Linked DNA regions of Neurospora crassa OR74A. The protein of the gene in region 1 binds, or shares a complex with, the protein of each later gene. Links are inferred from orthologs where the notes say so. Each region holds a gene or a part of one and is shown in the gene's direction. Other genes may lie near its edges. The genes, in order: NCU07560, NCU02804, NCU07852, NCU06749, NCU00952, NCU08299 and NCU05714.

Evidence for each region.
Region 2: NCU07560 (region 1) and NCU02804 share a complex: the UniProt entries of both Saccharomyces cerevisiae proteins name them as parts of the mitochondrial large ribosomal subunit. The link is inferred for Neurospora crassa OR74A from reciprocal best matches to the Saccharomyces cerevisiae genes MRPL17 and MRPL25.
Region 3: NCU07560 (region 1) and NCU07852 share a complex: the UniProt entries of both Saccharomyces cerevisiae proteins name them as parts of the mitochondrial large ribosomal subunit. The link is inferred for Neurospora crassa OR74A from reciprocal best matches to the Saccharomyces cerevisiae genes MRPL17 and MRPL23.
Region 4: NCU07560 (region 1) and NCU06749 share a complex: the UniProt entries of both Saccharomyces cerevisiae proteins name them as parts of the mitochondrial large ribosomal subunit. The link is inferred for Neurospora crassa OR74A from reciprocal best matches to the Saccharomyces cerevisiae genes MRPL17 and MRPL9.
Region 5: NCU07560 (region 1) and NCU00952 share a complex: the UniProt entries of both Saccharomyces cerevisiae proteins name them as parts of the mitochondrial large ribosomal subunit. The link is inferred for Neurospora crassa OR74A from reciprocal best matches to the Saccharomyces cerevisiae genes MRPL17 and MRPL44.
Region 6: NCU07560 (region 1) and NCU08299 share a complex: the UniProt entries of both Saccharomyces cerevisiae proteins name them as parts of the mitochondrial large ribosomal subunit. The link is inferred for Neurospora crassa OR74A from reciprocal best matches to the Saccharomyces cerevisiae genes MRPL17 and MRPL3.
Region 7: NCU07560 (region 1) and NCU05714 share a complex: the UniProt entries of both Saccharomyces cerevisiae proteins name them as parts of the mitochondrial large ribosomal subunit. The link is inferred for Neurospora crassa OR74A from reciprocal best matches to the Saccharomyces cerevisiae genes MRPL17 and MRPL10.

The regions. Positions count from the first base shown.
Region 1 is NC_026503.1:4,356,846-4,360,779, forward strand, and holds NCU07560 (50S ribosomal subunit L30), read left to right. Parts: upstream 1-1,180; 5' UTR 1,181-1,527; coding exon 1,528-1,564; intron 1,565-1,710; coding exon 1,711-2,483; intron 2,484-2,572; coding exon 2,573-2,869; 3' UTR 2,870-3,434; downstream 3,435-3,934. Other genes in the region: NCU16690 (hypothetical protein), read right to left, coding at 208-531. UniProt on the Saccharomyces cerevisiae protein: Component of the mitochondrial ribosome (mitoribosome), a dedicated translation machinery responsible for the synthesis of mitochondrial genome-encoded proteins, including at least some of the essential transmembrane subunits of the mitochondrial respiratory chain.
Region 2 is NC_026501.1:9,064,477-9,067,442, reverse strand, and holds NCU02804 (mitochondrial 60S ribosomal protein L25), read left to right. Parts: upstream 1-1,460; 5' UTR 1,461-1,652; coding exon 1,653-2,047; intron 2,048-2,135; coding exon 2,136-2,196; intron 2,197-2,257; coding exon 2,258-2,293; 3' UTR 2,294-2,466; downstream 2,467-2,966. Other genes in the region: NCU02803 (pre-mRNA-splicing ATP-dependent RNA helicase prp-28), read right to left, coding at 1-1,147; NCU02805 (diphthamide biosynthesis protein 4), read left to right, coding at 2,885-2,966. UniProt on the Saccharomyces cerevisiae protein: Component of the mitochondrial ribosome (mitoribosome), a dedicated translation machinery responsible for the synthesis of mitochondrial genome-encoded proteins, including at least some of the essential transmembrane subunits of the mitochondrial respiratory chain.
Region 3 is NC_026503.1:1,107,705-1,111,319, forward strand, and holds NCU07852 (mitochondrial 54S ribosomal protein YmL23), read left to right. Parts: upstream 1-1,476; 5' UTR 1,477-1,804; coding exon 1,805-1,825; intron 1,826-1,969; coding exon 1,970-2,500; 3' UTR 2,501-3,115; downstream 3,116-3,615. Other genes in the region: NCU07851 (superoxide dismutase 1 copper chaperone), read right to left, coding at 1-464, 626-817; NCU07853 (uricase), read right to left, coding at 3,338-3,444, 3,529-3,615. UniProt on the Saccharomyces cerevisiae protein: Component of the mitochondrial ribosome (mitoribosome), a dedicated translation machinery responsible for the synthesis of mitochondrial genome-encoded proteins, including at least some of the essential transmembrane subunits of the mitochondrial respiratory chain.
Region 4 is NC_026502.1:2,066,201-2,069,671, forward strand, and holds NCU06749 (mitochondrial 54S ribosomal protein YmL9), read left to right. Parts: upstream 1-1,263; 5' UTR 1,264-1,606; coding exon 1,607-2,761; 3' UTR 2,762-2,971; downstream 2,972-3,471. Other genes in the region: NCU06750 (coiled-coil domain-containing protein 25), read right to left, coding at 1-325, 404-507, 650-689, 837-909; NCU06748 (hypothetical protein), read right to left, coding at 3,156-3,471. UniProt on the Saccharomyces cerevisiae protein: Component of the mitochondrial ribosome (mitoribosome), a dedicated translation machinery responsible for the synthesis of mitochondrial genome-encoded proteins, including at least some of the essential transmembrane subunits of the mitochondrial respiratory chain.
Region 5 is NC_026501.1:6,595,531-6,598,525, forward strand, and holds NCU00952 (mitochondrial 54S ribosomal protein YmL44), read left to right. Parts: upstream 1-1,173; 5' UTR 1,174-1,467; coding exon 1,468-1,648; intron 1,649-1,813; coding exon 1,814-1,929; 3' UTR 1,930-2,495; downstream 2,496-2,995. Other genes in the region: NCU00953 (hypothetical protein), read right to left, coding at 1-70, 172-521; NCU00951 (inorganic pyrophosphatase), read right to left, coding at 2,817-2,995. UniProt on the Saccharomyces cerevisiae protein: Component of the mitochondrial ribosome (mitoribosome), a dedicated translation machinery responsible for the synthesis of mitochondrial genome-encoded proteins, including at least some of the essential transmembrane subunits of the mitochondrial respiratory chain.
Region 6 is NC_026504.1:2,488,264-2,492,403, forward strand, and holds NCU08299 (mitochondrial 54S ribosomal protein YmL3), read left to right. Parts: upstream 1-1,340; 5' UTR 1,341-1,630; coding exon 1,631-2,950; 3' UTR 2,951-3,729; downstream 3,730-4,140. Other genes in the region: NCU08300 (uncharacterized protein), read right to left, coding at 262-331, 446-628, 737-756, 841-843. UniProt on the Saccharomyces cerevisiae protein: Component of the mitochondrial ribosome (mitoribosome), a dedicated translation machinery responsible for the synthesis of mitochondrial genome-encoded proteins, including at least some of the essential transmembrane subunits of the mitochondrial respiratory chain.
Region 7 is NC_026503.1:604,608-608,065, forward strand, and holds NCU05714 (mitochondrial 54S ribosomal protein YmL10/YmL18), read left to right. Parts: upstream 1-1,130; 5' UTR 1,131-1,255; coding exon 1,256-1,596; intron 1,597-1,721; coding exon 1,722-2,319; 3' UTR 2,320-2,958; downstream 2,959-3,458. UniProt on the Saccharomyces cerevisiae protein: Component of the mitochondrial ribosome (mitoribosome), a dedicated translation machinery responsible for the synthesis of mitochondrial genome-encoded proteins, including at least some of the essential transmembrane subunits of the mitochondrial respiratory chain.

The DNA.
Region 1 (3,934 bases):
CGGCATTGCGCAAGGTGTGCTGAACAAGTCGGTTGATAACGTGATGACTGCTCATTCTATTCTTGTTCATCTTTTTTTGATATTCCACTAACTTGTCCATCCATTCTGATACGTAGCCTAGTAAAGATTTGGAAAGCTTGTCCGAACGCTAGCAAGGAGGCAGGTCTGATAATTCTATGAGATGAAGCACGCATATGTATATCGTGATCAGCGACATGGATGGTGGAAATGAATATTCTGAGCTGGGCAGTATGTGCATTGCGGCGTAGCTGAGACTTCAGTAGATGTGGCCGTGCTTGATCGCGACATTGACCGGAGTGACGACAAGCAAGTGTCGGGGATGGAGAACGATCCATGAATGATCTCAGGAAGGTTCATATCCAAAGTCAAGGAATGAATCGACAGGACACCAAGCAGCCAGACAAGACGCGTGCCACAAAAACGAGGCTTGAGAAATTCGAGACGGGGAAGCATTTCACGAAGTGGCAAGAATAACACTTTCAAAGAAACCAGCCCCATCTTGACTTTCATCTAGCGAAGTCTCCTCACACGTAGTGTACATGCCATGGAGAAGGAGACTGACTGACCAGACTGACTGGGCCAAGCTCATTTCTCAGAAAGAGCAAACACACACACACACACACAAGACAGTCTGCAGTATTATTACATACATACAATGCAAAACCGTCACGAGAGTTCGCAGGAGAAAAATATGTAAGCAGATTCTATCTAACAGCAACCCGGTAGAGCGTTTATAGGCAGGTACCGCTAGCGAATTCGTCTGCTCATGGTGGTTCCTCTCGGCACGGACTAAATGATCAGGACAGTTTTGGAGGAAGAGAAACGTCGTGATGATAAGGAATGGTGCCTTGAAGAAAGAAAAAAAAGAAGAAGAAGAAGGAAGAAGAGAAGGGGAGGGGGGATTGGTGGCAGTTTTATTGCAGCAGTTCAGTTCAAAAGTTTGCTGGACCCGCTTCGGTCAGGTGAGTGGTCATGTGGGGTCGTAGGAGCCGTGAACCTAACTGAGGACGTGAAAGTTATGGTGGGGTAGGTAGCGGGGGGGATTGGTTTTGGAGAAGAAAAAGGGAAGCTTTCGAAAAGGGAAGGCGGTGAAGGAAAGTAAATCGGTTGCCAAGACTCAATTGTTCAATCGCGACCAGGAACGAAACGAGCAGGGAGGGGACCTGACTGATCGGTGCGCGGCGGCAGCGCGGCAGGCGGGAGGGCCCCAGGGAAAGAGTGGGGCTGCGGACATCGAAAAAGTTCACGGCCGGTTTCCCGCGCTGTGTGTCGCCCGTCCGTCCGCTCTGCCCTGCCTGCCTGCCCGCCCGCCCGCCCGCCGCAGCGACCGACCGACCGACCCCGTCCCGCATCCACCCCGAGACTTGCGAGAGAGAGAGAGAGAGTTGCGTTGAGGATTGGCGCGCGCGCAAGATTCACCCGTCCTCCCTCCCTCTCCCCGTCCCGTGTCCCGTTGTCTACACACCCGGGCCCCGTTCAACAACCAAGTCATATATACTGCCCATCATGTCGGCGTCGAGTAGGGGAGCTGCTCTCCTTAGGAGTATGGACCACTTTTTCTTTATCTTCTTTTCGTATCGTCAACTCGTTACGAATTGGTGTTTTCCATGCATGGCTTCCGATCGCAAACTTTAAGCTTAAAGACACCATAACTAACCCGTCGCAATCTGTTCTTTCTCTTCCTTCCAGGCCAACAACGGTCCATCTGCCTACAATGCCGCAACCAAACCCGAGTACTTGCGCCCGCCGGCGTCACCAGCGCACCTAGACGTTTCTACTCCGCCGAGGCCTCTGCCACTGCCACTGCCACTGCCACTGCCACGACCACAACAACACTACCCCCTCCTCACCCGCCCGTCACCACATCAACAGGCACCCACGCCGCCACCTCGACCTCGTCGCAAATCTACCGCATCAAGTCGGGCGTGATCCTGACCCGCCCCCCGCTGCTGACGCGCGACCTCACCCCCTTTGAAGAATCCTTTTACTTTTACCAGAAGCGCCTCAACGAGCGGCTGACGGCCCCCTTCCGCAAGGACTTTTACTTCAAGAAGGACACGGCCGCCGACCTGGACTGGCGCATCAAGCTGAAGGAGCGCCACGGCGTGCCCGCCAAGGACATTGGTCGGTACAACCCGCGCGGCCGGATGGCGTGGAACGACGAGGTGCTGGTGGGGTCGCAGACGTCGTCGAGAAAGCACATGGTGGAGAAATTGCTTGCCGACGCGGAGATGCGCGTGTCGGAGGATGGCGAGGAGATCCCCGCCGAGGACCGGGTCCCCGTCGAGAAGCCGATGCCGAGACGGACGGAGGCGGATGAGAAAGGGGATGTCAAGCGGTTGGATCGCGCGCTGGACAAGACGCTTTATCTGGTAGTCAAAAAGAAGGCGGACAAGGAAGGCGAGGAGGCCAAGTGGATGTTCCCTACGGGCGTGGTGCCTACGGATGAGGGGTTGCATGAGGTTCGTTATATTCCCTTTTTCCCCAACCCAACTTCCAACCATTTTCCAAAACTCGCGGCCAACTAACCTTTGATGATGACGATAAACAGACCGCAGCCCGCATCCTCGCCGAGTCCGCAGGCGTCAACATGAACACGTGGATCGTCGGCCGCGTGCCCGTAGCCCACCACGTCGTCCGCCCCGTCTTCGGCCAGAAGGACGGCGCCCTGCTCAAGAAGGGCGAGAAGATCTTCTTCCTCAAGGGCCGCATCATGGCCGGCCAGGCCGACCTGACCGACAACCTGCATGATCTGGTCGACTTCAAGTGGCTCACGCAGGAGGAGCTGCGCAGCACGTTGGCGGAGGAGTACTTCCACAGCGTCAAGGGCATGTTTGCTGAGAGGTGAACAACACAACACAACAACACCCTATGTAGCCTGGTCTGGTGAAGTGAAGTATGGAAGAACAAGGTTGGAGAGGTGATGATGAGTCGATGGTCGAAGTCGGTGAGACTACACCATTATCTTCCGGGGAAATAGAATGGGGAAGTGCAGTGGGTGGCGGAAGAAGAAGAAGAGAGAAGCATGTGTACAAATGTATTGATATCAAAAGATGGTTTTAGTCGGTCGGTGGCAAGGTACAATTGTTGTTTATGCGCTGAGTAGACCTGGACCGCCCCCTAGCCGAACACAATCAAAGGTCTCGAGGAAGAGAATCAGAGATGGTTTGGAACTTGACTTGACAGTTCAAAGGCCTCGCACGCCTCAGCGTACTTGACCAGGCCGAAGCCAAGCTCGCATGCCATGTCTGCAAGAAGCGGGCGAAGGCTGACATGAAGCACAGGGACGAGAGAGGGTGTTGTTTGTAATGTAAAAACATATGCTGTGTATAGAGATTTGGGATGAAGATGTCATACAGGATGCGAGATGGTTGGTGAATACTACCAGACATCCGCTGGGTTGGTCATACCGCTATCTGAGGTGAAGTCTGATACTAACATACACAAACAAGACAGACTGAGCTAATCACATATCTGTGACCCGATTCTGCATTAGAGACGTGGATAGGTATGGCAGTGACCTCTTCAAGATCCAGCCTTGATCAATGATGAACACCGGTTCTCCCGGCTTGAGACACACAGTCAAAGCTTGTGCCAGCCGCAGACCAAAGCAACGGTACTTTTGAGCTGGTTGAAAGTCCACACCACGGCGGCCTGTAGGATATCTTCACACGTCTCCTACGCCTCCATCAGGACATCCTCCTTGATCATCCATATAAGGCCGTTGGCTTACACCTCTAGCTGGGACACTTCTCGCGCGCGTACCAGTGGTGTACTCCTCCATTCCTCGTACATCATTAACAAATTACTTGTTGGCATTACCACACCACACACAAGTCAAGTCTCAAATCTCCACCCATCTGAAAAGCAATCTGAATAACACACAAATCGTGCCCAAAGCCCACACAAAAAG
Region 2 (2,966 bases), on another chromosome or scaffold:
GCACCAGTTCTCTTGTTGGCGCCAGAATCAGGGCATATGGACCGTCGTTCTTGTTGTACTCGGTCAGGGGTGGTAGTTCGGAGATGTAAACCAGCAGAGGCAGCAAGAAAGCTGCAGTTTTACCGGAACCCGTCACGGCCACACCGATCAAGTCGCGTGCTTGAAGGGCAATGGGAATGGCAGCTCTCTGAATCGGCGTCGGCTCGTCGTAACCCACGTTCTTGACAATGTCGAGCAGACGCCTAGGCAGCGTGGACTCTTCCCAACTGCGCATAGGGTTGGGAATGGCACCGCCCTTGGTGGCAATGCCAAAGTTTTCCTTGAAGATACGCCAATCGCGCTCCTTCATGTCCTCCAGCTTCTTCTCGGACCAGTGCTTGCCCAGGTTCTTGCGCTGTTCCATCTCCTTGATCCGTCTGTGTTGTTCCAGGTATTGCCTGGCGCGCTCCTCGCCCGTCTCGGGATCGCCACGACGGATGGCTTCGGCCTTCCGCATCACCATCTCTTCCGTCATCTCGTAACCACCAAGTCGGACCAGAGGCTCTTGACGCTCTGCGTAGATGGGGTCGAAGGGTCGGCTAGTGTCGTCATCGGCATCCCAGTCAAAGTTGAACTTGTTCGCTGCCGTCCTCCTCCTCTTCTTCTTGGCCGAGAATGTGGACTGATTTACTACTGGACCCATGTAGCGGGCGCGCAGCTCTGCCTCGTCGTTCCTCTCCATCTTGGCTCGCTTCTCTTCGTCATCGTTGGGTGCGCCGCGTTTTGCGCCCCGTTGGTTTCTGTCTCGGTTATCTCTGTTGTCGCGATTGTCTCTGTAGTCCCGACCGTTGCTCATGCCGTTGGGTCCCCGGTCATCGTCGTACCGCATCGCCTTGGGTCCGGTTGGGATGTTTCGTTGAGGGTTGTGGTTGTGATGACTCTGGATACCGTCCATGCGGTTGCCGTTATGATTTGTTCCATTTGGTTGAGGCTTGGCTTCTTCCTTGCGCTTGCGTTCCTCTTCTTCCTTTGCCTTTTTCTCGGCTTCTAGCCTCTCTCGTTCCTTTTTGGGGATGAATCTTGGTTTCGCGGCGGCGGCTTCTTCCTCCTTCTTCTTGCGCAGCAGTGCTGCCAGGTCTGGGGGTTCCCGTCTTGATGTCGTGCTCATCGTGGTAGTGTATGGAGTTGGTGATGAATCGAAGGAAGAGACTGGTCGGAGGCGACAGTGTTGACAATAAACGTGTTGATTTCCAAGCAGTGCTGGGTTCCGGAATGGGGTTGTTGTTATGGCGAACTTGGGTGGTTCTGGGGTGCAGCAGCGGTGCAGCACAGTTCTCGACCCGCCCAAAAGTTATGTCACGGTTCAAGGTCGGTGATCCCTGTCGTGCCTGTTCAAGGGTCTCCACATGCCCCGCCTTACGCGGGGGGTTAAAGAGGTCGGGTTAGGGCTCAAAGTGTAACTTCCGGCTGTCGCTATGTACCGTTTCGCGACCTGGAACTTTTTCGCAGTTGGGGTCCCGTCGGCGGCCGATTGATCGCAAAGTTCCCCGTTCCGGTTCGTTCGAGCAATCCGGACCCTGTCACCTACGACAAAAACAAACAAACAAACAACCCCCCCCCCCACCTCGACCGACACAGTACCGCCAGCAGGCCGGTCGATCGACATCTTCACCATGGCGGCCACGGTGAAGCAGCACGTCCAGCTGGCGCTTTCGCTCCCACCGCGGTTGCGCACCTTCTTGGCCCGGTACCCGCCGGCCTCGATCCTGCCCGCCGGCGCCGACCCCGAGACGCACAAGACGCCCTACCAGGAGGAGAGCCCGAACCCGTTCATGCCCACCAAGCACCCAATCACCGGAAAGTGGCACAACCCCAAGTACTCGCTCAGGCGACAGGCCGAGCTCGTCAAGCTGGCCCAGGAACACGGCGTCGAGGAGCTGCTGCCCTTCACCCGCAAGCTCAACGAGGAGAAGCTACGGAAGAGAGTCGAGCTCGGTCTCCGTGTCAAGGGTACCGGTGTTGGAGAGAAGGTCAAGGGTCACAAGCACGAAAGGACACTGGTTGCCAAGTACGTTGTCGATCCTCGGCTGCTGCTGCTGCTGCTGCTGCTGGTTGGGAGGAAGTGGTGGTTTGCTGACGGTGGATTTCGCACACAGGATGGAGAAGAGGAGAGAGGCCATGCTGGCTATGCCCGACCTTATCCGGGAATGGAAAAAGGTAAGGATTGCGCCCAAACTCTTGCGGTTTGCACTCTTGTTAACCATGGGCTTCGCTACAGGTCGGCAAGAGGAACTGGACCAAGTTCCCCAAATAAGCGATCGGTTGTTGTCGCTTGTCGGGAAGATTACAACGAGAGTCACTGCCATGTCCATAGACTGTATCATCACCAACAATGTACAACAAATTTCAAGCCATTTGGAAGGGGATTGCCATCAATGTGGTTCTGTTTCCCGGTTGTTGACTGAACGTCCTCTGGCGTCTTATAAGACGGAGTTCCCCACTGTGGTTGGAGGCCGAGACGAGGTAATGTGTCTAACGGTGCAGTAAAATTTCCCCCCCGAATTTGTTTCTCTGAACAACTCACTTCACGATACCAGGCACACAACTAAGACTCAAACCACCACGTGAGAACCGACACATCACACATCCTCTTTTTTTTGCCTATTCACATTTCCTACTGTATACAGCAACATAACAAGGGCAGCGAGCGCAAAGAGACACGTGATTGCGGGATACAAACTTTTCTCTCGAAAGCTGCTCGACGCAAACCACCAACCTTTCACCACTTACACGTCGATACATTTCAACACCAAACCGGTCTCACAACCATACCATTTTATACCCGGGGCCGCACTACCAAACACCACATTGAACACCAAACCGCAAAACCACCAACACATCCAAGATGTCCCAACCAACCTTCTACGAAATCCTCTCCCTCTCACCCACCACCTCCGACCTCACCCCCGCCTCGATCAAACAAGCCT
Region 3 (3,615 bases), about 3.2 Mb from region 1:
GCCGTCAGCGTAGCAGTGCCGGACCACACCGGGCCGGCCGACTCGACACCCCGCGCAAGATCGCCGAACTCGCGGATCGTAGCGCGGTAAGTACCCGGCGCGATGCCGCGCAGCGTGAGGTCGACGAGCGTGGTCGAGTTGTTCACCTGCACCATGCGCGCCAGGCCGCGGACCATGCGGTCCGAGGCTCCCGGGGCGGGCGTGATCTTGTCTAGGGTGGGCTTGTGGTAAGTCTCGAGGATGCTGACGGCCGCGCCTTGAGAGTCGCCGGAACCGCGCAGGATGGCGTCACGGCCCGTGGACTGGATGGCGTTGACGATGGCGGAAGGCGCGGCCGTGCCTTCTATCGTGAGCAGCTGGTCCTTCAGGTTGGCCTCCACTTTGTTGATTCCGGGGAGCTTGTAGAGTGCACCGGAGACGTCGTTCACGCAGCTTTCGCAGTGCATGGGCACGGCGAAGAGAGTCTGTGAAATGAGTTAGTATGATGTGCCTCTGGAAGTATGTCAAGGTGAGTCAGATATGTGAGACAGGCTTGGACCCTTTATCTAAAGAAAAGGAAGGGCTTGGACCGAAGCTCATATGTAGGCATATATGAAAATGAGGCTGTAAAAGGGTATAAACAAACCTTGAAGGGGGTTGTGATGGAAGCCATGTTGCCGGCTATCTTCGGGATTGATGATTTGGGAGCAGCCGGGGATGACTGTGACTGAAAATAGTTCCTATGTTGTTGGCGTTGTTGCCAAAGGTATGCGCCTCCAAAACCTGCTAAAGCTAGACTAGAAATACTTAGGATTTGTCTGGCCGTGTACGGTGGCATCGGTTTCAGGCACTAAGAGGTAGCAAAGACAATACTGAGGACAGTATAGAAGTGGTGGTGTGAGAAGCAACACCAACGTGAGACGATGGATTTGTATAGAAGGCGATGGAGGAGAGCCCCACGTTCGGCGAAGGAGGGGACGACTAGGTACAATTAATAACGTTTTGGCTCCAGTCTACGGATGCTTAAGAGACGGGGTAAATGCGACTCTTGTGCTGAGATTCCTCATTGTTTCTCGACAAGAGAGTGCATGAAGTCACCTCACTGGAGTGCGAAATGTCGTTTTCCCATCTTCACTGTAAGACGGCAGGAAGGTAGATGTCGGCCTGCCAAAATGTTGATTTCAAAGCGACGGCACCTTTCTGGGACCACTTTTTGCGGGCGACCAACTGGGGCTCCGCTGTGTCCGGCTCCTCGATCGGCCCAAGCCAGGGCAATCCTGCTCCCCGAAAGCGTGTGATATGTACCGGGAAAGGAAGTGCAGGCTTTGGTACATGGGACATCAGTAAAAGAGAGCTCTAAGTGCGCCGAGTTGGTGTTTGTTAGTGCTTTCCTCAATTACACACTAAGACTTGCGGACCACCGTAGCCACCCCGCCAACCGCCAGCGGGCCGTCGTGCCCCAATCGTACGTGGAAATTTTCCGGCAAGAAAAGTGATTGCAGCTTTTGGGCTTGGCAGGCTCTGCTGCTGCCCTTCTGCAGGAGCTCCATTCTGCTTCCCGTGATACCGGACCACATTTGATACCCGTTCGCCGCGACAAGCCCCGGACTTTCTCGCGCCTGCCGAACCCGCCGTCTCGAACACTCCGGAGCCCGCCCGATCCCGTGTCATTCAATTGACCCGGACGATAACACATAGAGGTTCACTTACCACCAGTCGATGAGGGACTCGTTCCCACTGGTTTTCATACCTGCCTTCTCCACCTTAATCCTCTCTTGAACACCATAGTATACGACCTACATCACCACCGCGCAACACCGTCAACATGTCGCAAACAGTCGGAGCTGTAAGTTTCTTCCTGTTCGGACACAACTGTCCCATAATTTCGTCGTGTTTCTTACAATTTTGGCACTTGCTCGCCCTCCCGCCACCACCACCACCACCTCCACCACCCGTCACTAACCACCGCCGTCTTGCGACGAACGTGTAGACCCGACTAGCCTACTCCCGTGTCTGGCACCACATCTCCGCCGTCACCCCTCACCCCACCCTCTCGACCATCAAGGCTCCTTCCGAGGCCATCACTCCCCCTTCTCTCGGTCGCCTCGCCTCGCGCATTGCCACCATCCTGATGGGCAAGCACAAGCCGATCTGGGATCCCTCCACCGACTGCGGCGACTACGTCGTGGTGACCAACTGCGCGGGTTTGTACACGACGGGCCACAAGAAGTGGCGCAAGACGTACTACCGCCACAACACCCGGCCCGGTTCGCTACAGGCCATCACCATGGATGCGCTGATGGAGAAGCACGGCGGCGCCGAGGTGCTGCGCAAGGCCGTCAGCGGCATGCTTCCCAAGAACAGGCTGCGCGACAAGAGACTGGCGAGGCTCAAGGCGTTTGAGGGTGATGCGCACCCGTACAAGGAGAACTTGGTGCGATTTGGCGGTAAGGTGGTGGGCGCTCCAGGTTGGGAGGAGGCTGTCAAGGCTATCCGGGAGGCGGACATGGAGAGGTTATGAGCGACCATGGCTTTGAGGTGTGAAGGTCTGGTTGAAGGCGCTGGAGCTGGCTATCTACTCATGGAAGAGTGTCAGAGAAACGGGAGAGAAAGAGATGTAGGGACGAATCTACATCGAGCCGTTACGAACCATCTAGCCGACGAAGACTGAGAACTCTGTCAACTGTGAGGAAGATTGTGTGGACAACCACCTCGTTGGGGCGAGAAATCTCTCTCGTGTGTTCTTGTGTCTGTTACAGCCCACTTGGCCGTGTGATTCACGGGCAATGCCGCCAGTGTCAGTCTGTATATTACATGGGAAGCCGGTTCATGAGCCCAGCGCGCAACGGACAGTGTACGAACTTGGGTTAGAAAAAGGGGGCCTCTCATTGTACAAATATATCACTCAACAAGATACCATGATTACGACTCATGAGAGCTGTTTAGACTCATTGATTGTTTGATCTGATAAGCGATGAGCAGATCCTCATGTCCAACACGCTGAAGGCCCGCGAAGGCAAAAAGTCAGCCTCACCGATTTCACGGCATATTTTTTCACTTGGTAATTCGAGAGTGCAGCTAGCAGTGCTTTTCGGATGCTTGCTTGTTCATAATAGGAAGTTTATTTGATTACCCCTGAAAATTAGCGCCAGTCAAGATGTCCATAGCCTCCGTCTCATGATGATCCGTTGCATCAAGGTATCATCATCTTTCCACCTTCAAAACGTACGCCTGCCCGCCAACCAACCCCTCGGAACGTGAGGGGGAATGCAAAAAAAAAGAAGAAAAAAAAATGGTGATATCATAAAAGAAAGCCAAAGAAACATGTGTGACGTTTTAAAAACAAAGTTCAACAGTCTTACGAGCGAGAGACCTCGCATTTGATGAGACCGTTGGGACCAGACTGGGGAGCGTACACCTCGGCGTCCTTGCCGGTGTTCTGGAGGCCCTTGTGCCAACTGAGATCTGTTTTTTTTTTTTGGGTGTTAGTGTAAATTTATCTGGACCTATTTTTTTTTTTTTTGGTGGATTTGCGAAAGGGGTACTCACCAACTTCAAAGTAGTGCTTGTTGGGTAGCGAATAGTTGGTCTTCTCCGTCTCGGGTACCGCATCCAAGATCTGCTCGCACATCTTGT
Region 4 (3,471 bases), on another chromosome or scaffold:
TCATCGTAGGCATGATCCTTCTGCCACTTCTTCTCGGCCCGCTCCTTCTTCAGGCGATCCTCCTCCTTCTTCCGCGCCAGCACCGCCGCCTGATCCTTCTTGCGCAGCTCTTTGAGATGCTGCTCCTTCTCCTCTCGCAGGTCCGGGTGCTTCTCAACCTTGGTCTTGTTCAGACGGTTGACGATAGCATTTTCGCGCTGCGCGATCAAAATGCGCTTCACCTTCTTCTGATCCTTGAAGCTGACCTGGCCGACCGCCATGCTGCCGTCCTTCTTGAGATTGGCCCATGGGGTATAGATGATTGTGATGTTGTCCTTCTTGTTACCTTTACAAAAGCACAGAGTTAGTCCTCACGAATTCCCCCATGACTTCCTGACAGTAGAATTCAAAAGCAGCAACTTACCCTCGATGGAGTTGGCCTTGGTCAACTGACCAAGGTCGGTCAGGAGCTCCTCGGGAATGTTCTCCCATGTCCAACCCTCTGGGAGACGGAGGTAGATATGAGCACTGGAAAGTTTGTCGACATGGAACTAAGTAGGGCCTAGTAATGAGAAACAGAGCATAATATGACGAGAACCTCATGGGGAGTCATACCCTACGAAGAATAGTTAGAAAATGCCGAACTAGGCTTGGCCGGGGTGAAACTTACCATACATCCTCCTCCCAGCCGTGTTGGATCAACTCCTCGTCTATAAAATAGCATGTTAGATGAGTGACGAGCTGACATCTATATCCAAGTCAAATATGCAATGTCCATGAGTGTGTCAAGATATATGCATATTCCACAAGGAGATGCAGAATACCACCAATTGTGGCTGATGATCATCTTCACGTACTCTCAAACTTGTCTTTCCCCACATAAATGAAAGCCGGGGGACTGACGACGGTCGAAGTGAAATAGAAGACCATGGTTGCTGATGCCTTTGGAAGAAATGAAAGATGGGAATATTGGGTATCTCAAAACGGCGACAATGAAAAAGACACTTCGTGCAAGAAGGGAAACCAAGATGCAAAAACGCGATTTCTTCTCTGGGGCTGTGTGGTGGTGGTTCGAGTGAAGATGTTTTAGCGGTTGAGTTTGGGGGATCCAATGCGGTAAAATGCGCCCGCACTCCAGCGGAAGTAAAACTACCTAAGTGAATAGAAAGAAGCAATTAACCCTAACCCTTCTTGTAGAGATGTCACACTCTGTACACCACAATCCGCCAAATACATAGTACCCGCCTGTGAATAGCCGCCCCTCCCCTGTCAATTGTGAATCCCCGGATGCCGAACCGATCGACGTTATCGGGGGGGGAGCATCCCGTTACTGAATTTCTGAGTGGCTATCAAATTTCTGCTGCTCCGTGCTTCGAGCCGGCGACCACCACTCCCGCACCCGCCCCAAAACCACCTCAACGGCCGCGCGCCGAAACGACCTCCCAACTCCGCCCCCTCCGGTTCGCGTCTCGAAGACAGCCGGTGTCCTTTCCATTCCCCCCACTCGACGCTCCGGGGCCCCGACATCGATACAACGAACACCGTCAGGTCCAATTGACTGCGACCAACCCCACCAAAAGCAACACAACACCACCCAACCCTCCCCTCAGACTTATACACATACACGATGGCGCCCCGGCTGCCCGCGCGCTGCTGGAGGCAGCTCTCCCTCGTCGAGAGGTCAGCCACCCACACCACAACCACCGCCGCCGCCAGCTCCCTCCTCCTCGCCGGCCGGACCACACCCACCTTCTCCGCCTCCTCGCCATCGACTGTCTTTCCCTCCCTCCTCCCTCAGATCACAAAGCGCGGCGTCAAGTACGGCTGGAGCACGCTCCCGAAGCGCAGCAGGCCCACACGATTCAACCAAGTGACGCAGGGTCTTCCGGCGCCCACCTCGGGCCCGGCCGCTGCCCTCAAGCGCCGCGAGAAGACTACACCCCTGCGCACCGGCGTGCTCGCTGTCAAGAAGGGCATGACCGTCTTCATGGGCCGCACCGGCGCCCGCATCCCCTGCACCGTTCTGCAGCTCGACCGGGTCCAAGTCGTCGCCAACAAGACGCGCGCCAAGAACGGCTACTGGGCCGTCCAGGTTGGCCTGGGCGAGCGCCGCGCCGAAAACGTGGGCGCCCCGCAGCTCGGCTACTACGAGGCCAAGGGCATCCCGCCCAAGCAGACGCTCGCCGAGTTCAAGGTGCGCAACCAGGACGGCTTGTTGCCGGTCGGCGTCCAGCTGTTTCCGGACTGGTTCCACGTCGGCCAGGTGGTGGACGTGCGCGGCATCACGCGCGGTATGGGTTTTGCCGGTGGTATGAAGCGTCACGGCTTCGCCGGTCAGGAGGCGTCGCACGGTAACTCGCTGAACCACCGTACCATTGGTTCCGTCGGTGGTTCGCAGGGCTCCGGTTCGCGTGTGTTGCCCGGCAAGAAGATGCCCGGTCGCATGGGCGCGCAGCAGCACACGGTCCAGAACCTGCCCATTCTGATGGTGGACAACGAGCTCGGCATCGTGGTGGTCAAGGGCGCGGTCGCTGGTCACAAGGGTGCGGTTGTCAAGGTTCAGGATGCTGTCAAGAAGGCTCCTCCCCCGGAGGAGTTTGTCGAGGCCACCAAGCAGCTCCTCAACGAGCGGTTCCCTGATGCGGAGGAGAAGTTGCAGGCGGCGAGGAAGTTGCACTTGGAGCTCAAGGAGGCGAGGAGACAGGGCCTGATAGATTCGCTCATCAAGAATGGGCTGACAGAGAAGGCGGATGGAAATGCTGCGGTAGAAGCTTCGGCTTAAGAGAGGGGGGCTGTCTCTGGTCTGTAGTATGTGTTTGTACTAGGTTTATGGAAGGGAATGTATGGTAAAGCCTTCCCGGTTTCTCATTTTTTTTAGTTCTCTCTTGTATGATACACACGCATCGTGGGGTGTTAAAATGTACAGCTACCGAAAATGTATAACAACTTGAACATACAACCCTTGCCCGTGATAGGTTCGTATGTTCTCTCCCTATATCTTACACATATTCCTCCTTGACAGCCTTCGGGTATTCAATCAGAGAGCCAGACCACGATCCTGTCCTTCAGCTCATCCTGTTTGAGAGGGGGAGAGGGGGACCACCACCTTCCCCGGTTCCCATATATATCCTCCCTTTTTTCAAAACTATTCCCTCCTTAAGAGCACCCCAAAACAATTACTTGGGCATCTGCCTGAAACCCCTGACCTTCGCATCCTCTGCATCATCATCCAGCTCAGGTTCCATCGCACGGCCGTTGATAGCTCTGAACGGATCGCCCTCCTCCAGCAGGTCAATGACCTTGCCGTCCTCCGTCTCCAGACTCCACTCGGTCGTCTCGAACATGCCTCGGGGCGTGGGCCGGAAGCTGGCGAAGCGCATCACGCCCGTGCGCTTGGTGCCCTTGACATTGAACTTGATGTCGATGCGGCCGTGCAGCTGGTTCATCTCGCCCGAGATCCACGGAATCTGCGCCTTGAAGTAGATCTCGTCA
Region 5 (2,995 bases), on another chromosome or scaffold:
CTCGAGGCGCTGGGCGGTTTCAAGGTTGCGGCGCGCCGCGAGTTGGGCTTTGCGGAAGGAGGTTCGACAGCTGTATTTTTTTGAGACGCAATTTTGTTAGGTACGTTGTTTATCTTCATCTTCATCATCGTCATCACCATCCAGGCTGAAAAGATGAGAAACAAAACTCACCCCTTAAGCTCGGCAGCCAAGCGTTGCGCGCCCTCCTTTAACCTCGTCTTTTGATGTTCCGCCTCACTCCCTGGGCGGCCGGAGCGCAAGTCGATAATCTCCTCCTGCAGCAACTCCAAATCCTCCTCCTCCTCGCGCAAGACCTGGCTGATTTCGGCGCTCAAGTCAGCGGCCTCACTGTTGGTGGTTCCATCGGCGCCAGTGTTCGCGAGACTGCTGATGCTGTTGCTCAAAGGAACGGAACCGGGCTCGAATTTGAGCGTGGCGAGACGCTCGATGAGGTCCTTAAGCTGGCCGGTCGTCTCTTGGAGGGCCGTGAGCCGCTCTTGAAGCGTTTCGAATGTTGACATTAGTGACTTGTTGTATTATGTCGGTATTGCATTCGTAGGGAGTTGACTCGGTAAAGGTAGATAGATATGTGTTGGAAAAAGGTGGATGTGTAACAAATGGTTTCCATGGATCGTAGTCGGATCCCACTTAGGTACCTGGTGTTGATCAGCAGCTGTGCTGTTGTTGATAATTAGTGGAAACCTGGCCTGAAAGGAGAGCACTGTAGCGATGTTCAATGGAAGTTCTCGGTGGGCGTGGCTCTTGCAACGTCATCCTCAAGGTCAATGAAAACGGATCACATGCGGAATTCGGTAACGGAGTTCAAGTTACAACTCGCTGGGGCAAATGGGAGTACGTACTGTTGCGCTGAAGGAACAAAGCACAAACTTACACACTCAGGGCTACAGACTAACACAATGTAATAGAAGGCCAGAAGTGATTCTCTTCCCGTTCAGAAGATTAAAAAGATGTATTATGTCAATTGATCTGATGTAGTGTAAATATGAATGCAAAATCGAGCCTGACACCGTTTGATCCCAGTTGGCTCCCAACCAATCACAGCCCATCTCTCACACGTAGCACGCGCCGTCCCGCATTCTCCGTTTTACAAAAAACACCCCTCCCGGTCCCCGGCGCAATCGGTACGTACCTCCAGTAATTTTTGATCGCATCCCTCCTCCACGCTGCCGGCCGGCGCCAGGCACGAAGACCGAATCGAAGTCCAAATCGCGACACACAAGCTACGTACCCCGTCCGATCCTCCACAGAGACCCGTCTCCCGTCTCCCGCGTCTCCGTATCCGTCCCCGTCCGGTGTGCAGTGCAGTCCCGTCGTCGCAAATTCGCAAAGTCGCAGTCAGGCCTCCGCGTTCCTCCTGCTTCTTCTTCTTCTTCTTCTTCCTCCCCGAACCCAACCCCAACACGACCTCAGGTCACCACCACCACCACCCGAGAGACCTCGCCCAACATGCTCACCCGCTTCATCACCGACGTATCAACGCGCTTCAACCCTTTCTCGGCCAAGGCCAAGGCCGCCCGGCTCTTCCTCTCCTTCCTCCCTCCCAACGCCCGCTCCAATGGCATGAACATCACCACCCAGCTTCTGCCGCGGAATTCCACCGAGACTCCTTTGCTCTACGTCAAGTTCAGTACGTTTTCCCAATGTCTCTCTTCTTGTCACTTGCAACTCTGTCACACATCGACGGACCGCCGTTGCAGTTGGTTGTTGCAATTTGGATCATTCCGGCTGGAAGGCAATCAAGAGTCGTTAGCTGTGAATCAAGCCGTAGTCTAACGTATTTGAAAAAAAACAGAGGACGGCAAGGAAATGAACCTCGACGTTGAGAACATGGGCATCAAAAGCATTGTCGAGGAGGTGGATCGCCACTCTCGTATCCTTCAGAAGCAGGCCGACTTGAACGACGGTTAACCGAATCTCTGTCTTTCTTTTCTTCTTCAAAACCCAGCAATCTCGAGACGCCCTTGTTGTGTTTTGATCCACCAATCGAACTTTGCGGGTAAAACGAGGGAGACTGAGACTAGGAAAAAGGAGGGAAAAGCCACGGGAAGAGCGACGAAAGCCCATCTTGTCTTGATACCCAGACTACTTGGCTTTGGTCCGTGGTACCAAAATGACGATTGACCGGGAGGAGAAGAGGAAAAGTCTGGATATCTAAAGGCACATTCGAATCACCTGGGTAAAGCCAGCGAGCTTGGAGCCGGATACCTGACGACCTCTCTGAGAGATCTGTAAGATCGCCTTACCAGCCAAAAAGAAGAAAACAACAACAAAAGATATGAACCTGTATTTGTATTGGGCAAGAGGTTGTAAGTGTACACCAACAGCATTGGGAGGCGTTAAGGGGCCGGCGATTTTCAGTTGGCAAGGCAGTTTGGGTACCTGTTGTTATAGACATGCGTATATAGCACCTCTGCCATGGATTGATTCACACACATCACGGTACGCCCATTTTGACAAAGTCAAAGTTGAGATCGGCCTTTTTTTTTTTTTTTGTTTTTGTTTTGGCGACCGTGTTTCCTTCGATGGGGAATTCATCAACGGTATCGGTATATTTCAACGGCGAAACTCATGGCGCAAGAATGTCGAGCATCTCCTCGACAAGTCCCTATCCCACGGCATGGACTACAGCCTCAGAAATGGCCAATCTCTGACCGCGCATACCTTGTTGCAAAGACGTTCGACTCTACGCAAAACAACGCATGAGGGTAACACCATGGAGGATTGTTCACGACGAATTGACCAATACAACAAAGTGCCAATAAATTATCTTTATTCTACCTCAACAAACGAACTCTCTAAGCGGAAGCACCGCTGATGAAGAACCACTTGTCGATGGAGCTATCGATAGGGGCAGGGGGGAGATTCTCGTTGGGAGGGAGGGGAGGAAGCTGGTCAGGGGCAACACGGCTGCTGGAGTGCTGGACAGTGACGTTGGTGGTGGAGACACCGCCAGGGGCAGTCTTGCCGGTGATGA
Region 6 (4,140 bases), on another chromosome or scaffold:
ATAGAGGTAGTTTCCTCTATAATCCATTACAGAACTGATCCACATCAAAGTTAGCTTTATTCACGACGTAGCCAGGCTCTGGAGCACCAACGCAAGACGGCCAGCGGAGGGTAACCGACGTTGAATGTATTCCGAATATTGCATTACTACCACCAACCGGCCGGCCTCAACCAAGCCAAGATGTCCTGTTATTCCATCAAGCCTTTGGAAGCCATGTACTGTATGACCAAACGGCCGGGGTGGCAGGGCCTATGCCCAAATTTACTTTTTCTCCTGTGTCGTCCCGTTCTCCTTTTGCGCCCGCTCATACTCGATAATCTGTCTGCTCCAGCTAGTGGAGGTAATATCGGTTGCGTCAGCTTAAGAACATCCCCGCGGTCTGCGCTCGCGGAAAACGTTACGCATGTATAAAAATTTGGATGGGGGTCTGTCTGCCAGGACATACTATCTGCTGGGATAAAAGCGACCAGGCTCGGGCATCTTGTGACGGTACTCTTTCTCGGCGCTAAGCTTCCAGACTGCGGCAGTGATGAGGAAGACGACGCCACCGAGAACAGCCGTGTTCTTCTTCCAGTTGGCCGGCTGGGCGTACCAACCACCCGAAGGCGACCAGACGTGTTTGGGGTAGCTGGAGTGAAGGGCGAGGCAACGATTAGGACGGATCCATGACACAACGCAGGCTGGGTTGGACAGAATGCGCGGAGGGTTTGCGCATGTCGAGGGCGATGAAACTCACGGAACTTGGGGACCGCCGCCCTATAGACAGGAAAAATAGAGAGTTAGCAGACACAAAACATAGTAGTGATGATGGCTATTCTAAGCAATCGGGTGGATACGCACCATTGTGATGAAGTTTTGGGATATGTGGTGAGGTAGGTTGGACGTTCAACGAGGAATGATTCTTTCCACCTCGCAGTTAAGCAAGATCGGTTTGTACTGTCAACTTTGCGATGCACTGCGAACGACGGCACAATAGTGGTGATGCTTCAGCGGGAACAATTGGATAGAAGGACGAATGATGAATCCGCCTACAGGCTGACGAGGGGCTAAATCGCATCAACCATCCAGGCCTGAAAGTCACCATGTCACTCGTCCTAACTGGGGCCGAGGGCGCATGCGACAGACGGGCGGCGGGCGGCGGGCGGGCAGCTCCCGCTTGTCCACCACAGTGCACCGTATGCTAAACAGACAGCGCAGATAGTGGATTGGGGTCGAAGATGGATCTTGTGGGGACCCTCACTGGGCCAACAACGAATCATGTCAGCCGGCTTTTATGTCTCGGTCTTGGGGGAGTAACCCCTGCGCTTGAGCACTGATTCACGGCTCTGGGTGGTGGGCTTGTCTAGTGTACGGGTGGTGAGCGTTCAGATTGGAGAACTTTTTTTTTCTACCCGTGTTCGACGGCCGGCCGAGTCTGAACGAGAACCCATCCGATCAACGCGCGACTCCGACCGGGATCCCGAGTAGCTTCCCACCCCGCGACCACCGGCTCACCACCTGCCCGTCCGATTTCCCTCACTCCATCCTTTTCTTGGCAGGGCCTCCAGACGGCGCACACTTACGGAACCTGGGCCCCAGCACGTCAACACCCGGTTGTCGAGCCGACCATCACCCATCAAATATATCGCCCATGAAGAGGATAGCAACGCCCAGCTTGACGAGCCGGCTGCTCGTCGCCGCTCGCTCCGGAGTGTCGCCCGCCACTGCCGCCATCCGATCCCGATCTGCAATCTCGGTGCGATCGCAATCGACAGCTGCCCTCGCTCAGCACGATGCATCCCACGATCTCAACAATGATCGGTTCCCCCCGCTTGAGCCCCTCCCCCCCGCGGCCGAGTCCCTACCGTCGCCCCTCCCCGAACGGGCCTTGACCTCGGCCAAACTGGCCGCCCTCCACGCCCGTTTGAATCTTTCTCCCAAGATCCCCTTACAGACATTGGCAAGGACACTGGTCGACGCCTCGGCCGACGAGAACCCGCAGTTCAACAACGCCAACCTCGCCTTCGTTGGCCAGACCCTCATCAACTACCATATTGCCGAATGGCTCCTCTGCAAATACCCCCGTCTACCCCAGGGAATTCTCTTCAGTGCCATGAAGGCTTATGCCGGACCGAAGCCCTTGCTCCAGATTGCGCGGTCATGGGGTGTTGATACCGCCGCGGTGCCCGGCGGCGAGGTGGATCCCGGTCTTCTGCAGTTCGATGCCCTTAAGCCCGGCGTCGCCATCACAAATTTCGGCTACAAGCGTACAGAGCTCGCCTACCTCGAGAAGTTCAAGTGGCGTCGCGGTATGGCCTCGCGTGTCGTTCTCGACGACGACTTTGGTGATGTCGTGCGCAGCGACCCCAAGGTTGCCGCCGATCTGGAGAAGGCGATGGAAGAGCAGGATCAGGACAAGACTCCCGACGAGGAGGAGGCCGAGATGGTCGCTAATGAGCAGGACCAGGACGTGAGCTACGACCGCTACGGCAACCCCGACACCCGGGCCGCTGCTGAGCGGGCCCACGCCTACTTTGTGCGCGCCGTCGTCGGTGCCATCTACGCCCACTGCGGCCGCGAGGCCGCCAAGGCCTTTGTCAAGGCGCACATCATGTCGCGCACCCTCGACATTGCCAAGCTCTTCGAATTCAAGTACCCCACCCGCGAGCTCGCCGCGCTCTGCGCCCGTGAGGATTTCGAGCCCCCCGTGGCTCGTCTCCTCTCCGAGACGGGTCGCCAGTCGCGCACCCCCGTTTTTGTTGTCGGTATATACAGCGGCAGCGACAAGCTCGGCGAGGGCGCCGCCTCCTCTCTCGACCACGCCCGCTTCAAGGCCGCCATGAACGCCCTGAAGGCTTGGTATCTCTACAGCCCTGGCGAGAACCCTCGGGTACCCAGTGATATGCTGGAGGAGGGTGCCAAGCCCTGGACGCCAGCATACATTGATATGGGTGAGGTTATCTCCCGCTAAATGAGGAGGCTGAAACACGGAGCATGGCGGCGGACAGTACGGCAGGGCAGTAGAGAACTTAGGAAGTGTATGAAACGAAAGGTAAAAAGAGAGTCGCAGATGGCCTGCTTACACTCTCGGTTTTATTGGTTGTGCGGCCCATCAACTCGGGATAGGTTCCCCTTGTGGAAATCGACGCAAGAGGATCGAGAGGGAAACAAAACAACGAGTGGATTTTGTTGGTGTGGTCTAAAAGCTCAGCTTACCTTTCCACTCTTGTCCTGTCCTGTTGAGAGCGGGCAATTTCCGTCCTGCGAAGGAAGGGGATATTAAATGGATGGTCCTCTCCCATCCAGTCACTCCCTTTCCTTCCATTGTTTCTTGCTCTTTTTGCCAAAGACGAGATGTTGTATACAGATTTGCGCGCAACGGACATACATGTACACACACGCACACCCCCGCCACATATACCAATACAAAGGGGGGTTGGGACGGAACGGGGAATGAAGAGGGTCTGGATGGTGGCTGCTTGGCTCTGCTTTCGACAAAGAGAGACACAACCCTCGTCGGGGTGGCATCTGTGTCCTTCTTTCTCAGTGTATAATACCAAAAAAGTAGCCGAGGCCAGGGAGAAGGAAGATCATCGTCTGTATGTGTAGCATTAAGAAGTCAAATTTTTTACGAGGCATCAACGAAGTACATGACATGATAAATCCTTCCTCTACGTATTGACTGCTCTGGCATGAGGAGAAGGCTGTGTAAGAGAGAATATGGTACTACGCAATTTACACGCATTGTACAATTCCAGGATGTGTAAGCCCTTGTTTTGTATAACAAGCATCGTAAAGGAAGAAATGGGAATACGCAACCGGCAAGAGTAAAAGACCGGACGACGAGATCGAGCCTGGAAGTTCCTCCCAAGCTTGCGCGCCTTCCATTCATCCAAACTAGAGGTTGTTTAGTATCTATTTTGCCTTGTGCTTTCTTCACATTGCTCTTGTTTATCTTATACGTGAGAGGAAGATGAAGTTGGTGAGAGGGGAGATGAAATGTGGACTGTTCTCTCTGTAGTTGCGTCCTCACTTTCTCACCCCCTCCTGGTACTTTGTCACGACGTTTCCAAAAACACGTTCATCAGAACTTGCGACCTGATGCAAAGGGATCAATGAAGGAGACTTTGACAACTATAGAATTGGCATATTGTTAAGGTA
Region 7 (3,458 bases), about 3.8 Mb from region 1:
ACATGAAGAGCAAAAAGCTCGGTCGCCCAGGTAAGTTTGTAGAACGAACGACAATACCCCAACTGCAGACCTACGAAAAAGCCACACATTTTCATCAACGGGAACCACTGTGCCAAAAGATCACAGAGTTCCGTTATGCCAGAGAGATCAGTTAGGGAACCCGACCTTATATAATACCTGTAGGCTACAGCAGAGGGTACTAGAGGTTTGCGGCCTGGGCGGGAAGGGATCTTGTCATCCGATGTTCCCGTCGGTGAAGGGCGTGCCGACCGATTGCCGGTGGCAGGAGCGGTGGCAGGTACCTGGCGCGTGGTTTGGGCTTGGGACTGACATTCCATGCTTGAAATTCAGACAGACTTGAGTGAAAAGCCATTTCGGAGCGGCGCTTCTCTGCTTGACTTGGAAAGTTCCATCACGATCGGTTATGTTTATCCCGCGAAATGACTGCACGCTGTCCCTTGCTCTGTTCTGCAGTAAACGTTATCCGACAGCAAAGAAGGCTTAACAATTACATTCTTTCTATCAGCCATACAAACACCTTCAGTAAATCAAAGTAACATTCAGGCAATTCCAGCGTGTATGTCACTCATGCCATTCTCAACACTCCCGAACCCCACCAGCTCGATTGGCTCATGGCTGACACAGAACCCCCTTCGACACGCCCTACTTCAGGACTTCTGTGTAATTCTAGCGTAGGTCGCAGTTGAGACCCATCTATAATAGGTTTCTAGTATGAGCTGCTCTTGGCTGCCTGTTTTGCGTTGCTCTCAAAGGCAATACTTTAAGCATCCCACAGTTGTACTTGCACAATATTTTCTCAACGCACCTCCAATGGCCTCGGGACACTCAATTTATGATCATTCCGACTGGGTGGAAAAATTCCCTAAACTCGCACCAGATGTTCTTCAGCCTGTTAAGCCGCGGTACAATCACTCTTAGGGACTTTCACCGCACTGAACCTTTGACATGTTCTTGCATATCCCGTGTAAGTGATATCGAACATGGATATTTTGGAGCATCACGGTCCCTTGGCGAAGGACGTCGGATGTGGACCAGCTGCTGACTCAGCCGCCCATTCGCAATTGACCGAGACCAACGAGGGCGCACGGTCCACCCCCGCGACGCAGGTGTCGGAATTTGGCTGGGCGCGGGTCCTGAACTTTTGTTTTCGGGGAAGTGCCGTTGCCGTGAGGAACGGAATCCGGAAGACTGCCCGACCCAGACCCAACCCACTCCCGTGTCCTCCGCCTCCGTCATGCCTCCCAGGTTACCGCTCGCCCAGGCGGCGCGATGCTGCCAGGCCTCCCTCACAGCCCGCCCTTCGGTCCCAGCCTCGTCGCCGACGTCGTCCCTCATTTCGCTCTTTGCTGCCCTCTCCGTCCAGACCAGGAGCGCATCCATCCTCGCCAGCCTGTCCGACAACCGGGGCGCCTACCACAAGCGCATTCGCAAGGGTCGCGGTCCTTCGTCCGGCTATGGCAAGACTGCCGGTCGCGGTACCAAGGGTCAGAAGGCCCACGGTCATGTTAAGCCATGGTTCCAGGGTGGTCAGACGCCCTTGATCGTCTCTCACGGCCGCAAGGGTTTCGTTAACCAGTATGCCGTCCCGACTTCCCTACCTCGCTTGCTATGCGCCATGGCCAAGAACTCTCCAGCATGCTATCCGATAACCTATACCTACCAGATACATGATGGAGACTAACCATTTGTGTCTTTCATAGGTTCGCTGCCGACATGTCCGAGCTTAACCTCGAAAAGCTTCAGGAATGGATCGAAGCCGGCCGTATCGACCCCACGAAGCCCATTACCCCCAAGGAGATCATCAAGTCCGGCATCATTGGCAGCAGCATCAAGGACGGCATCAAGCTTCTCGGCCGCGGCAAGGAGAGCTTCAAGATCCCCGTCACCATCACCGTATCGCGCGCGTCCGCCTCCGCCATTGAGGCCATCGAGGCTGCCGGCGGCAAGATCGTCACCCGATTCTACACCAAGGAATCGCTCAAGCGTCTGGTAGAGGGCAAGTCTCTTCATACCGACAAGCCGCTGCCGGTGGGCAAGGAGCACGTGGAGGAGATCCTGGCGCAGGCGCGATCGCTCAAGAAGAAGTACTACCGCCTGCCGGACCCGACCAGCCGTTGGGATATTGAGTACTACAGAGACCCGGCGCATAGGGGCTACCTCAGCCACCAGCTTGCGCCTGGCGAGTCGCCCAGTTTGTACTTCAAGGTACCGACGGGCGGCGAGAAGGTCAAGGTGGTCAGGGCCGACAAGGTCAAGGCCAGCAAGACCGGGGATGTGGCGTCGGAGAAGCTCTTCTAATGAACACGAACATTGCCTGGGATGGCGGTTTTTCCGAGACTCGTTGTTGCGCTCTTCCTCGTTGTTGTATGATAGGTACTGGGCCCGTTCATGGCTCTGTGCTTTGTGTTGTATTATTATCATCCGCGTATTGTCAGTCCAGCGTCTTGCTCCTCGGATCAGTTCTATTTGGGTCCTTGTACATCATACAGGTCTCACCTACGGGAGTGGATTCCCACATGCGGCCAGCACTCCACTTGCTGACAACGCAGGTGAATCATGAAACTCCCTTGATTGACGTGTTCCTGCTTTTGCGATCCATCGTAGTTCGAAGATGGGCTTTATAAAGTAAATATCACTTGGCTGCGTGTTGACATGGTCCAAACGACGGATCTCGAAGACTTGCTGTCCCGTACCTGGCAGTCGGAAGAACAGCCATTGGCCAGTGACATGTCAATCCCGCAAGCTGACCCCGGTCAAGTCCCGGTCCTGGGCGGTCCCCGGCCATTCCTTCCAGGGCAGCTTCCACGGGGACGGTGAATGGGGGCATTAGAAAATATGGGTCTGATCACGTGCCAGGTCGCTTTTGGTACCTTCTCCATACCAGCTTGTAATTACGTCCGAAAACAGCCGTCAATACCCGACTTCTCTGCAAATTACCAATTAGTGTTAGGGTTAGTTAGGGTTAGTTAGGGTTAGTTAGGGTTAGGGTTAGCTCCGGGGGTGCAGGGGGCCGGTGAGAGGCCCCCGCATGTGAATGTGAATCGTTAATATTGACATATGTCAACCATATGCCGACCATATGTCTTGTAATTACGGTAATTACACGGGTGACTTTCGATACCTTCGGCTTAAAGAAAGTGGAGTATGCACGGACCAGTCTAATGCCCCTAATCACCATGCCCAGCTTCCACAGCGGGAACCGTCCACTGAAGCCACTGTATGCAGCCCTCCCGAACGGGATTGTGTCAGCTTTGGAGTCGGCGCGTGCCCTCCACCCACTCTGCCCGCCGCGGCGTCATCATTGATGCATCTTGACTTTTCTTTCCTCGAGCGGGAGAGACCAAACTTTGTCGTTGTCAACATCACGACCTGCTTCAACTTTTTTCTTCATTTCTGTGTTTCATTTTCTTCTTTTTCTTCTTCTTCTTCTTCTGGCT